Tamandua tetradactyla: one gene and its partners. The protein of the gene in region 1 interacts with the protein of each later gene in a pairwise test. Links are inferred from orthologs where the notes say so. Each region holds a gene or a part of one and is shown in the gene's direction. Other genes may lie near its edges.

Region 1 (3,744 bases):
TCCGAGCTGTGTCACCTGGGTCATGAGACTGGGGAGCCACGTGCCTGCATGCCGCGCCAGGCTAGCGAACAGCCACTGCTTGGCCTCAGGGTGAGCCCTTCTCCCACCTTGGCACCGAGCGCATTTCTGGGGACAGTCACGGCTTAACTGCAGTGACATCTCTACCTCTTAAAGACTCTTTGGTTCTGGAGCTAATTAAAAGCTCTAAGCAGGGAGGACACACTTAATCCCATTAATGACTCCTGGACAGGAAATGGTGTGCCCAGCCCTCGGAGGGACAGCCTTCCAGAACCACCTCCATTTGTTCAGGTGCCTGTTGATTGTTTATCAGCCCTTTTAAGAGATTAAGCTGCACACAGGAGCGGGCCATTTTGGCAGTGGCTCTGGGCAGGGGTTCGGGTGACCTGGAGGGTGCAGTCAGCATCTCAGCCCTGAGACGCCAACTCCCTGCTCTTCCAAAGCATTAAGGGGCCTTGGTTCATGAGAAGGGGGTCTTTGCCCCCATCTGCACTCTGCAGCCAGCCCTCTCCTCCGCGGGGAAGTGGGTGCAGCACCCACTAAGCAGGACCTCCCTGTCCAGTCCACGCTTGTCGGTCATGGCACATGTGCAATGACAGAACCACCTCAGACTCTGTGGAGGTGAGACAGATGTCCTGACGGGGTAACTGCTCCCGCCTGGGGTCAGAGAGGGCTTCCTGGAAAAGGAGACAACTGAGCTGAGAAACAAAAGATGAGAGTTAAGACGCTGAAGCCCTCCCCACTGGGACAGCTGTCCAGGGACCTTGAAGAGGAATTCCCTGACTTTGAGTATGCTTCCGGCTTTAGCTTTCTGGAAAAATGGAAATTGCTCTCTCATCAGCCTATGGAAGAGTGGTTGGCAGGGCCACAATAAAACGCTGGGGCCCCAGGAACACTGCTATCAGGTCCCGGAAGCTTCCCCGCGAGCCCGCACCTTGGGCGTCCAGGGGAGAGATCGGCTGGCGGACTAGGCTGCGGCTGTCTCTTTAAAAGAGGAGGCATGGGCCCCCAAACCACGCCCCTTCATTAATATTAAACTATGATGAATATTGATGTTGGGGGCGTGGCGCCCCGGCCAGCTGGGCTACTCAGCCGGGGGTTCCCGGTTTCACCCAGGAAAGTGACAGAAGCCGCTCGGAGGGGGACACAGAGCGACACAGAGCGCGCGCGAACGTCCGGCGGCCGCCCAGTCTCGGGGGGAGCGCTCAGCTCCCCCACCCCCGGCTCCCACCCTGTCCGGGGGGCCCCTCCAGCCCGCGTCCCCAGCCCTGAGCTCCCCATGGAAGCCAGCCGTGGCCCGGGAGGGGCAGGAGGAGTCGGCTAAATGCCCGCCGTGCGCCCCGGGCGCCTGAGCCCAGCCCGCCCCGCGCCGCTGCCCTGAGGCCCCGCGCCCGCCACCCCGGGCCGCGCCGCCCCCGCCCGCCGCGGACCTGCCCCCCGCCCGCTCGCCAGGGCTCAGGCCGGAGCTCGGGGCTGGGCGCGTCGCCGCCCTGGAGTGAGGCGAGCCCCGCGGACGGGGTCCCCGAGCCGGCCGCGATGGACGCGGTCCTGGAGCCCTTCCCGGCCGACAGGCTGTTCCCCGGATCCAGCTTCCTGGACTTGGGGGACCTGAACGAGTCGGATTTCCTCAACAATGCGGTAAGGCCAGGGGCCGCGGCCGCCTCCCTGCGCCCCTCTCCGCCGCGCGCCTGGGCCCCTCGGGGACACGCGCCCGCTCACCGCCCGGCGGGCGCTGGGGAGGGGGCTGGGAGCAGGGCCTCCCGGGGGGACACGTGCTCGGAGCGCCGAGAATTCGGGACCAAGTCCCTCGACGCCTCCCCAGACCCCGCGCCCGGACGGGAGCCTGTGGGGTCGCCCCGGTGCGCGCCCCTCCGGGGTCTCGGGCGTGGAGGCGCCGGCCCCGTTCTCGAGGGCAGGCGCACGTCGAGGCGTCACGGCTGCCCGATGCTGGGACGGAGTTCCGGAGACACCAACCCTCCCGCCCCCTCTCCCAGGCGTTCCTCACCCTCCCCGGGCTTCCCGGACGAGACGGGGCGCCGCGGCAGCGCGCTTCCCTGCGCCCCTCTGGGGCCTCGCAGCCCAGCGCACGGTTCCCCGCTGGGGGGCGCACAGGGGAGCGCGCGGCGCGGACACCGGTCCCGGCCGGCCCCGAGCGCCCAGCAGCCGTGCCGCCGCGGGGGGCAAGCCCGATGAGGTCCCCCCTGACTTGGCTGGCCAGGGCAGCTCGGGGTGACGTTCCGGGGGGCAGCCCGCCCTCCCCATCTCCGCGACTCTAGGTGACTGCCCTGTCCCTCGGCCCCTCGACCCCTTGCTGACCTTCTCCCCCTGTGTCTTCTGACCATCGCTGTGTCTGGGCTCGCCCTCCTCTCTCCTCTCTCTCCCGCCCCCTCCCTCTCTAAGGAAACGTGGCCTCTCTCCCTTCTTCCTTCCTTCCCTCCCTCTCAGGCTGGGCCCCGAGGCCCCGATGGGGGAGGGGCATGGGCTCAGTGTCCGGAGAAAATATGTGGGTTCCCCTGGGGCTAGGGGCACGAAGTGTGGGCTGCTTGGGGAATCCAGTGGGAGCCCCACCTCGTGTGGTCCTCCGGGGCCTCCACCTCCTCAGACTGAGAAACTTGGCCAGACAGGAGCCCAGTTCGTAGAGGCGTAAAGAGTTCAGAGAGGCCAGGCCTGGGCATCCCCGCCTTCCTCCTGAACTGTCCCAGGCCACTAGAGCGATGGTGGGGAAACTGAGCCAAGGGCCAGGGACCTGGCTCAGGGGCATGGGGTGTGAGGTCTCCTCATTCTCCATTAGGCAGCACCCAGCGCTCACTGCCCTCTGGAGTGAGAGTGGAGGAGGGGAGAGACCTGGCGGGGCTTCCAGCTCTGGCTCGGCCGCTGCCTGCCCGTGAGCTTGGGCCACACCATTCACCCTCCTCTCTGGGGCTCAGTTTCTTTGTCTGTAAAATGGGGCAAAGGGTCCATCAAGTCTTTCCACAGATGGTTCCAGTACTAAGCTGGACACATTCCCTACAGCTCTGAGTAACAAAGTGGCTGGGATATAGGGGTCCAAGCACCCACCCTGGGGATGGTAAAAGGTGCTGGTGAGAAGGAGGGGGTTGCTGGAACTTGCACCTGGCAGCCAGGGGAGTTCCCTAAGGGCTTCCCCCAGCCCTTGGCAGCTCTGCACTGGGCTTTTTTCTGAATGAACTCTGTAGCCTGCAGCCTCTTCCTGCTGCTCCATTCAGCCCTGTGTCCCCAGCTGCTCCTGGTCCAGCGTAGGAGAGGAGGCGCAATTAGACAGCGGTGTCAGCGCTGGGGTGCTGGGGAGGGAAAGCCCTGCCCGAAAGGCTCCTGTGCCTCCAGGCAGGCAGCGGGACAGACAGAGTGGTGGCCTCAGGAGATGCTGGTTCTAGCTGTGCTTCTGCCACTAGGGGCCAATGCCACCCATATCTTCCTCATCTGAAAAGTGGGGATATTAGAACCTTTCCATCGCATGTGGTACAGATTTAGTGGGACAAAAACAATTGCCATAAAGACTTAGCATGATGCCTGGCATCATGAGTCCACAGTCATCAACTGGTTCCAGAGACTGGATGGGGGTGGGAGTGAGGGACAGACCCAGGAGTAGCCAAGAGACCCTGAGTAAGTCACTTGCCTTCTTTAAGGCCTCCATTTCAGTGTCGAAGGACCCTTATAGCTGGACTCTCCTACCCAGCCCACCCCCAACTCCCTCTTCATTCTGCCTAG
Region 2 (3,744 bases), about 100 Mb from region 1:
CTAAGCCACTCATGAGGCCAGTATTATGATTGTCATTTTCACATGAGGAAACTGAGGCTCGGGAGGTGAGGTCAGTGACTAGTCGAGGTGCCAACACAGGTACCAATGGAGTTGCAGAGCTGGGATTTAAATATTTGTCATCCTCAATCTTCAGTTCCAGGCTGGGGAGGAGTGTAACCTCCATCTCCAGTGCTGTGGCCTGGCAGGGCCAGGGTGGGGGGCTTGAAGAGGAGGTCCTGGGCGGCAGGTCTGTGGTCAGGGCGAGGTCCCTGCTCCCCAGCAAGCACCCTATCTGGCTCTCGCTGAAAATGACAACTACAACCAGAGCTGGCTCTGGCGCCTACGACACAGCCATTCATGCTTTTAGTTCATTTTCCCCTTAATTGCCAAGGCTCACAATTAACGTGGGTTGCTGTGTCTGCTGCTGGGTTATTTCCTTTTATTTTTCTATTCCCCTCAGTTTACTACTTCAGAGAGACACTAGCTCTGTCACTGCATCTGTCTCACTGCTCCCTGCCCACCCTCACCAGGGGAAAACCAAAAAACAACGGCTTATAGCAAATCAGCGCTGGCACTCGCGTGCCCTCTTGGAAGCAGCCTCCTGTTGCGTCTCTGAGCTTGACCGTCCTTTGAGAAGCTCACTCCTTTGCACCAGAGGAGGGGAAGTTACCGAGCCTGGAAGCTGGAGAGGAGCGGAGAGGGAGGGAAAGGGTGGAAAGAGGAGGAGAGAGGAGGGGAGAAATAGGGAGGGGAGCGGAGGGGACGGGAGGGGGTCTGCACGCTGTTGCTACCCAGAAGCCATCAGACAGCTGACACCCAGGCATCTGGCCCCAGCCCCGTGGCGTGGAGGGAGAGGGAGCGTCCGCCGGCCACTCCCCTCTCCAGCTGGACGCGCCTCTCCTGCCCGCCCCAACTCTTAGGAGGAGGGGAGGCGGGAAAAAAGCAAAAGCCTCTCCCACCGCCCTGCTGCCAGCCCGCCACTCCCAGCCTCCTCCGGACTCGGCAGGTCCTCCCGGGAGTGCCTTGGTGGGGGCCGTTCTGTGCAGGTAAGGTGCTGGGGAGATGGGCAAAGTTGAGTTCTTTGAAGGAAGGAGGCTCAGGCGTCAGCGGATCCTCGGGATCGGGGGAACAGCGGGTTTTGTTTGTTCCTGTGGCGTGTGCGGTGCTCCTGGGCGGATGGCCCCTCGTTCTCCCGGGCAGCCTGAAAGGGGTCTGGGGGTGCAAGCAAGGGATGGGTATGGGAGAGCAGGGGCCCCCGTGGGGCCGCGGGGGTGGAGCTGGTGGCAGGGAAAAGCTCTTGTGGTTACCTGGGGCTTGGGGCAATGGTTTTTAGAAAGGGAAAGGGCTGCTCCCACCCAGGTTTTTATCCTGAGGGAGTTTTCCTTTGTTATTTTGAAGCCTAGAGACTTGGCGTGGGGCGTGTGAGGATCTGAGAATAAGGGAGTGTGACTGACTGTTCACACTCACGTGAGCAATACAGAATGGAATTTGGTGGCTTGGTGCTGGGGGTGGGGCGCTGGGCAGCAGGGAGGTGAGTGGGCTTCCAGGGCCTAAGGATGGAGGAGAATGTCTGCCTCGATTTTCCTTTCCTTCTCCTCTCTCCAAGCGTGTTTTCCTTCCAGGGGCCTGGCCCACCATCCCCTCCTCTCCCTCACTTTGCCCCCCTCGGGCTTGCCCTGCCGCTGCCGCCCCCGCCCCGTGTTTCTGGGCCCCCGCCCCGTGTTTCTGGGCTTCCATGGAGAGTTGGGTGAGCAGCCTGTCTTGGGAGCTTTCTTCCGGCTCTTACAAGTGGTGGCTGGTGGACAAAGCCCCCGAGGGTGGACGTGAGGGGCAGCCCCCGCCCTGAGAAACGGGTCAACCCAGTTTCTGTGGGGGTGGGGTGCGGTGGGAATGGGGGGCTGTAGCAGCTGGATGCCCTCCCCCTCACACACAGTGTGGCCTCTGAGTCCACTTCCTTTGTCTCCTTGGCTTCGTGCTCTCGGGCTGGGCCTGGATTTCCAGGCTTGCAGCTGGGTCCGTGGGCAGCCCCTGCCTGCTGTGAAAGGGCCCCCACTCCGGTGGGCCAGCCGCCCTCACATTGTGGCTGTGGCTGCGACTGTGGCTGTGGTTGTGCTTCCGCAACTTAGCCTTTTGCACGTGACCCGCCTGGTAGTTGCCATGGAAACTGCGCCCCATTTCTCAGCCTCCCTCCTTTTCCTGCCCATTCCTCACCTCTGTCTCTCTCCCCTCCCCCCAATATGGTTGCCTAGATACTGGTTTTCCCTGGCTTCACTGGGTGGGAGACCCAGGACACCCAGCTCCCAGCCCCCTGCCACACACCCACCCACACTCACACAAACTCTAAGCATACTCTTCCACATATGCAAACATACCACACCACCCATGCACAAACACATCCTCTCACACACACACTGTGTGCCCTGCTTGTCACACGCACTCCTTAAACACCCTCACGAACACAGCGCACACACACATCACACCACACGCCCACCACACACAGACCCATCCACGCACACGCCCCCGTGGCACGCCGTTGTGCCTGCTCTCACACACACACACCTCAACAATGACACGTAACACTGCCTCCTCAACACATACTCACTCCCCACTTTCTCCGTCTGAAGGCGAGGGCTGTGGTGAGGAAGGGGGCGCCGGGGAGCCCAGTGTGGGGGTGGGTCAGAGTCGTGGAGGCTCTGGATGCCCAGGGGAAAACCCCATCCTCTCCCTGGAGCCCTGGGGAGGGAGGTAGAGGAAAAGGCACTGCCAGCTTCCCTCTGAAGAGGAGCCCCTCTGCTGGGTGCTGGCCTCCAGAGAGGCTGGGTGGACCCGAATCCCGCCTCCACTGCAGGTCCCCGAGAAAGCTGAGACTTGTGTTCTAGGAGCTTGCACCTAGCCTGAGTCTTCCTGCTCTTAGAGGGTAAGGCAGGCTGGGGGGCCATCAGGAGGCTCCCAGTCCCCAGAAAGGAGGACAGCACAGCGAGACAAAGGGAAAAAGGGAAGTGGAGAAGAGGGGAGAAGTCAGAAAGGGGGAAGAAGAGAAGGCGCGTGAGTTAAGGAAGAGGAAGCAGGGCGACCTGCCCCATCTGGGGTTCACACCAACCCTGTCTGCCCTGGCACATTTTCTTGCTTCCTGCTGGTTGAAGCAGTCTTACAGAGGGGTCCTGGGCGCCAGGGGTTTTCCAAGACTTGTGGCTTTGCTGGCAGTCAGGTGGTGGAAGCCTGAGGGAAGAATTTCCTTCCTGGCCTCCAAGGGGAAGCAGGGCTCATTGCATTCCATCTTTCAGTGAATTCTCTTGGGTACCTATTAGGTGTTAATGGCTGGAGACCGGACTGCGAGGAGACACCGTCCAGGATCTATGAACCCCAGATTTCTCAGAGCCCAAGGGGACCTTGAAGGAACATCCCATCAGGACAGTGCAAAATGGGGAAACTGAGGCTCAGAGGTCACATGGCCCCCCGTGGCTGAGGACTTCTGACTGCACACTACCTGACTGGCACCTCCTGGTGCCTTCTTTCCTTTATTATCATCAGTCCTCTGGAGACTGGGACACTCCTTCAAGAGTGCGGTCCTGTCGTGGCCAGGGAGGGTCTGGGGAGCGTCCTCCACTGTGTCTCCCTGGAGGGCGAGACTGAGGGTGTTGCAAGGTGAGGGGAGGAAGGTGCAGCTCTCAGACCCCGGAATCAACCCCCCCCGGAACCCCCTGTAAAGCAGAATACCGCTCCCAGCCCTGCAGGGACGCTCTG
Region 3 (3,744 bases), on another chromosome or scaffold:
CCTGTTCAGCAAATAATGTGGAGATGGGAAAATACACTACACTGGGCTTTAGGGAGCCCTAACTTAGTCTCATCTGTGCCAAGAACTGGCTGTGTGTCTCTGGGTAAGTCCCTCCCCACTCTGGGTTCCCCTTTCCTTGTATGGAATAGGGGATGGGAATAACTAACTGGTGTTCTAGACCTAGCCTGTTACTCTCTAGGGGCACTTACAGCTCTCCAGCTGCATCATGCAGGTCTGAATGTCCATGGGAAAGTTCTTGAGATCCATTGGGCAGGACAAAATGAGGGTCAGCCTTATGGGGACAGAAAGAAAGAACTGACATCAGTTTACTGGGGGCCAGTACAGAACAGGGGACCGTCCTCCCACCTCTCAGCCTCTGACTGGCCTCTCCCCCTTGGCCCAAACTCTCTTGTCTGACCATCAGTTGCACCTGATGCTGTAGAGCACATTCCCGTTCTTAAAGATGCGTAGTAACTTGTTGTCTGTGGTCACCTCATGGAAGCTGGCCCCTTTCTCGTTGGCAAAGAACAGATCAGGCTTCCAGATGGATTCCAGCATGGAGGGATCAAGGTCCAGTGAGTCATCAGGATACTCTTGGTAGGTCAGGCGTGGGTCATTCCACTGTTGCCTCAAGAAAACATTCATCTGGTAGTCCTGGGAAGATGCAGAGATGGATACATCAGAGGCAATGCTATTCCCAGGGGCCTAGCAAGTCTACATGGGCAGGAGAACCATGAAGAGGAAATGTTGGGAACATGTCTCAGAGGCATGTCCAGTGGACAGTGTCCACTGGAGAAAGGGCCTGCCTTGGGCTGACATGGCAATGATAGAAAGGAAAAAGATATTTATTGAGCACTTGCTATATGCCAGGCCCTCTGCTAAGTGCGTTCTACATATGCATCATCTCATTTAACTCATACTAAACCTGTAAGGACAACTCTGCAATGATCTCCATCTTACAGATAAGAAAATTAAGACAAAGGGAGATTTAAGTAACCTGCCTAAGGTTGCACAGCTATTATATAATAGTGTAAGGATTGAACCCAGGTTTGTCTGGTTCCAAAGCCTGTGCTCCTTACCAAGCTAGCTCACACAGTTCACCCATTTGCTGCTTAGTTTTCTCTCTCTTTAGCCATGGAAACCTGGGGCTGGGGAAAGGTGTCCTCCTAGTGACCAACTTTAGGCATCCTATGTTTTTAGCCATGTCCACAAAACAGGGAAAGGATAGCAGAGAGGGGAAATGTTTGCTATCTGATAGGCTTCTCCCATTCACCCTAGAGTGCATGCCCTTACCATGGTGGTCTCGGTGACGGATCCAAAACTGTTGATGAAGATGTTGCAGGTCACGTTCACAGGTGGGCCTAAGGGCAGCAAAGCACAGCCCATTGGCAGAGCATTCCAGGAGCAGGTTTCAGGAATCCCGCACAGAGCTTCAGGGCTGGACACTGCTGGCAGAAGCAGTGTCAGCTACATGGGCCCATGGGCAATGGTGAGCGGAGGCATCTTCTAAGCTGGAAGAGCTAGCCTTGTACCTCCAGCCTCCTTTCCTTGGGGCACGGAGTAAGGGATGGTTGGATATTGTATCTCCAAAAGGATAGGGGAAGATGATCTTTTTCTGGGATGACTTTTCCTTACCTTTAAAATTGGGCCGAATCCTGGCATCATAACCAGATGTTCTCCCCATGAGCTTGTCCAGGAAATCAGAGGGGGACATGGGCTGGGGAACATCCTTTGTCCCAGATTTGACTTCCTCTTTTGCTAAGGTGATCCTGGACAGGAGAGGTAAAGAAGTCTGAGGCCAGATGCATTCTGCATCTATCATAGCTCCCTCAACCTCCAATCCCACCATCTCCCCATCAGACAGGAGGATAGGAAAGGATGGGTCTCTGGATGCCCATTTGCAAAATTAGGAGAACGAAAATGGTCAGCTAACACAGTCGCTCACCAGTTAGGCCTAGGAATGTGTTGTCATATATATTACGTCTTGTTACTCTCACAGTTCGCAGTGTGATGGGGGTGATGATTAGTATCTCCACTTACAGATGAGAAAAGTGAGGCCTTAAGAGAAAGAGTGACTTGTCCAATGTCTCGAAGCTAGTGAGTGATGGCGTCAGGACTCAAACCCAGGGCTGAGGCCTCATCTAGTGTTCTCTTTCTGAAAGTGCCATGAAAGCACTCAAAGAAGAGTGGTGACTCATTGGAAATAACATAGCTGCAGCAACATTTCATGCATCTGACCTAGCCAAGGATGGGAAGGGTTGAAGACAATCTACATCTTTAAGAGTTGGTTTCAGTTGTTTGGGCATCATGCTGGGATGTACAGGATCTAGGACCAGCTTCTAGGGAAAGAGGCTTGGTTTCTGGCATTTGTTTCAGCAGGAGGCTAGATTTTGTGCTGAATCTTAGTTCAGGGCTGTGGCAACTATGAGCAAGTGAATATGTTTTGACAATGAAATAGGTGGGGAAGCAGGGCCCAGCAGGGTGGCCATGCTGTAAAGATCAACTCCCACCATTTTGCCCCCTAACAACTTGATTTGAGGAAGGGGCTAGTGTGCTTTGGCCTAACCTAAAAGCCAGCCCCCTTCTTCCCTAACAAGCATATTCCATCTTAGAGCAGCAAAGCCCCTTCCACATGCCTACTTATCCGCTTTCCAGCCAACGCATGGACTAGGGACCATCAGCTCAGCAAAGCCTTGGGAGCAGAGGGCAGGGCTCAGTCTGGACTCCTGGCTGGGCCATGTGCCTCCAGCTCCATCCTGCCATCGTCACTGCAACAGGCACCCCAGCCAGCCCTGCTACTCCCACTGCTACTACTGCTGCTGCTACTGGTGCTCTGTGGAGCTAGGAGGCAGGGTGACTGCTGTCCTGGGTCGTAGTCATCTCTGAGTCAGTGGGCTCCTCTTTCCCAGTAAATCTATGCATTAGCCATTGATAATAAAAAAGTATATCTAAGGTACCATGCTAAATGCCTCATGTACCTTATTTTGTTTAGTTCTCCCATCAGTCCTCTCAGGTAAGTATTATTATTATCTCCATTCCATCTATATGAGTAAGCCAAGGATTAGTGAGATGAGACCTGTTCAGGATCATACAGCAGTAAGTGACAAGGCTAGGATATGAAACCAGGGCTATTTGACTTAGAAACAAAGGCTATCTACCCCAATACCATGATGCCAGCAGCCCAGGGTGAGCTAACATGGAACCAGAGTGGGGGAAGGTCAGTGACAACCACTCCCTGGACTCCTAGAGTCCTGCTTCCTTGAATTGGCTGAGCAGGAAGAAGCCCTTAACCTAGGAACAGAGGCCATCTTGCCCCCACACAGGGGAGCAGGCCCAGGCTGCCTGAGCAGGTGGCTTAAGCAGCCTCTGAAAATCCAAGGAGACTGGTAGTGGTGCTGGGGCAAGCAGAAGTCCGTGACTTTACTGCAGGATGTCCACACTGGCCAGGTGCTGTTGTTTCTGCTGCTACTGCTGACCACCTGCCATCTGCCCACTGGGAGGCCACATGGCCCTGCACGTGAAGCAGCTGGACACTCTCCTCTGACTTTATCCCCATACTCAGGTCACCTTTTCTGCTAGCCTCAGGACCCTGAGACAGGCTGTGGGTTCAGCTGTTTTGGTTCTCAACCCCTACTACAGTGCCTTTCTTCTGGGGCTGCCTTGTCTGAGGACCTGAGAATAGTCACTGTGTGTCTTCTTCCTCCCTTCCATTCCTAGAAAGTCCCAAACACTGGTAGGACTTGG

Evidence for each region.
Region 2: the proteins of CREB3L1 (region 1) and FXYD6 interact in binary tests that used the Homo sapiens proteins (3 or more experiments, as listed by UniProt). The two-hybrid records come from large-scale screens. The link is inferred for Tamandua tetradactyla from reciprocal best matches to the Homo sapiens genes CREB3L1 and FXYD6.
Region 3: the proteins of CREB3L1 (region 1) and PLP1 interact in binary tests that used the Homo sapiens proteins (3 or more experiments, as listed by UniProt). The two-hybrid records come from large-scale screens. The link is inferred for Tamandua tetradactyla from reciprocal best matches to the Homo sapiens genes CREB3L1 and PLP1.

The regions. Positions count from the first base shown.
Region 1 is NC_135334.1:122,993,417-122,997,160, forward strand, and holds the start of CREB3L1 (cyclic AMP-responsive element-binding protein 3-like protein 1), read left to right. Parts: upstream 1-1,467; 5' UTR 1,468-1,554; coding exon 1,555-1,656; intron 1,657-3,744.
Region 2 is NC_135334.1:22,810,899-22,814,642, forward strand, and holds the start of FXYD6 (FXYD domain-containing ion transport regulator 6), read left to right. Parts: upstream 1-820; 5' UTR 821-1,046; intron 1,047-3,744. UniProt on the Homo sapiens protein: Associates with and regulates the activity of the sodium/potassium-transporting ATPase (NKA) which catalyzes the hydrolysis of ATP coupled with the exchange of Na(+) and K(+) ions across the plasma membrane.
Region 3 is NC_135353.1:70,063,215-70,066,958, forward strand, and holds the start of PLP1 (myelin proteolipid protein), read left to right. Parts: upstream 1-1,186; 5' UTR 1,187-1,294; coding exon 1,295-1,355; intron 1,356-3,744.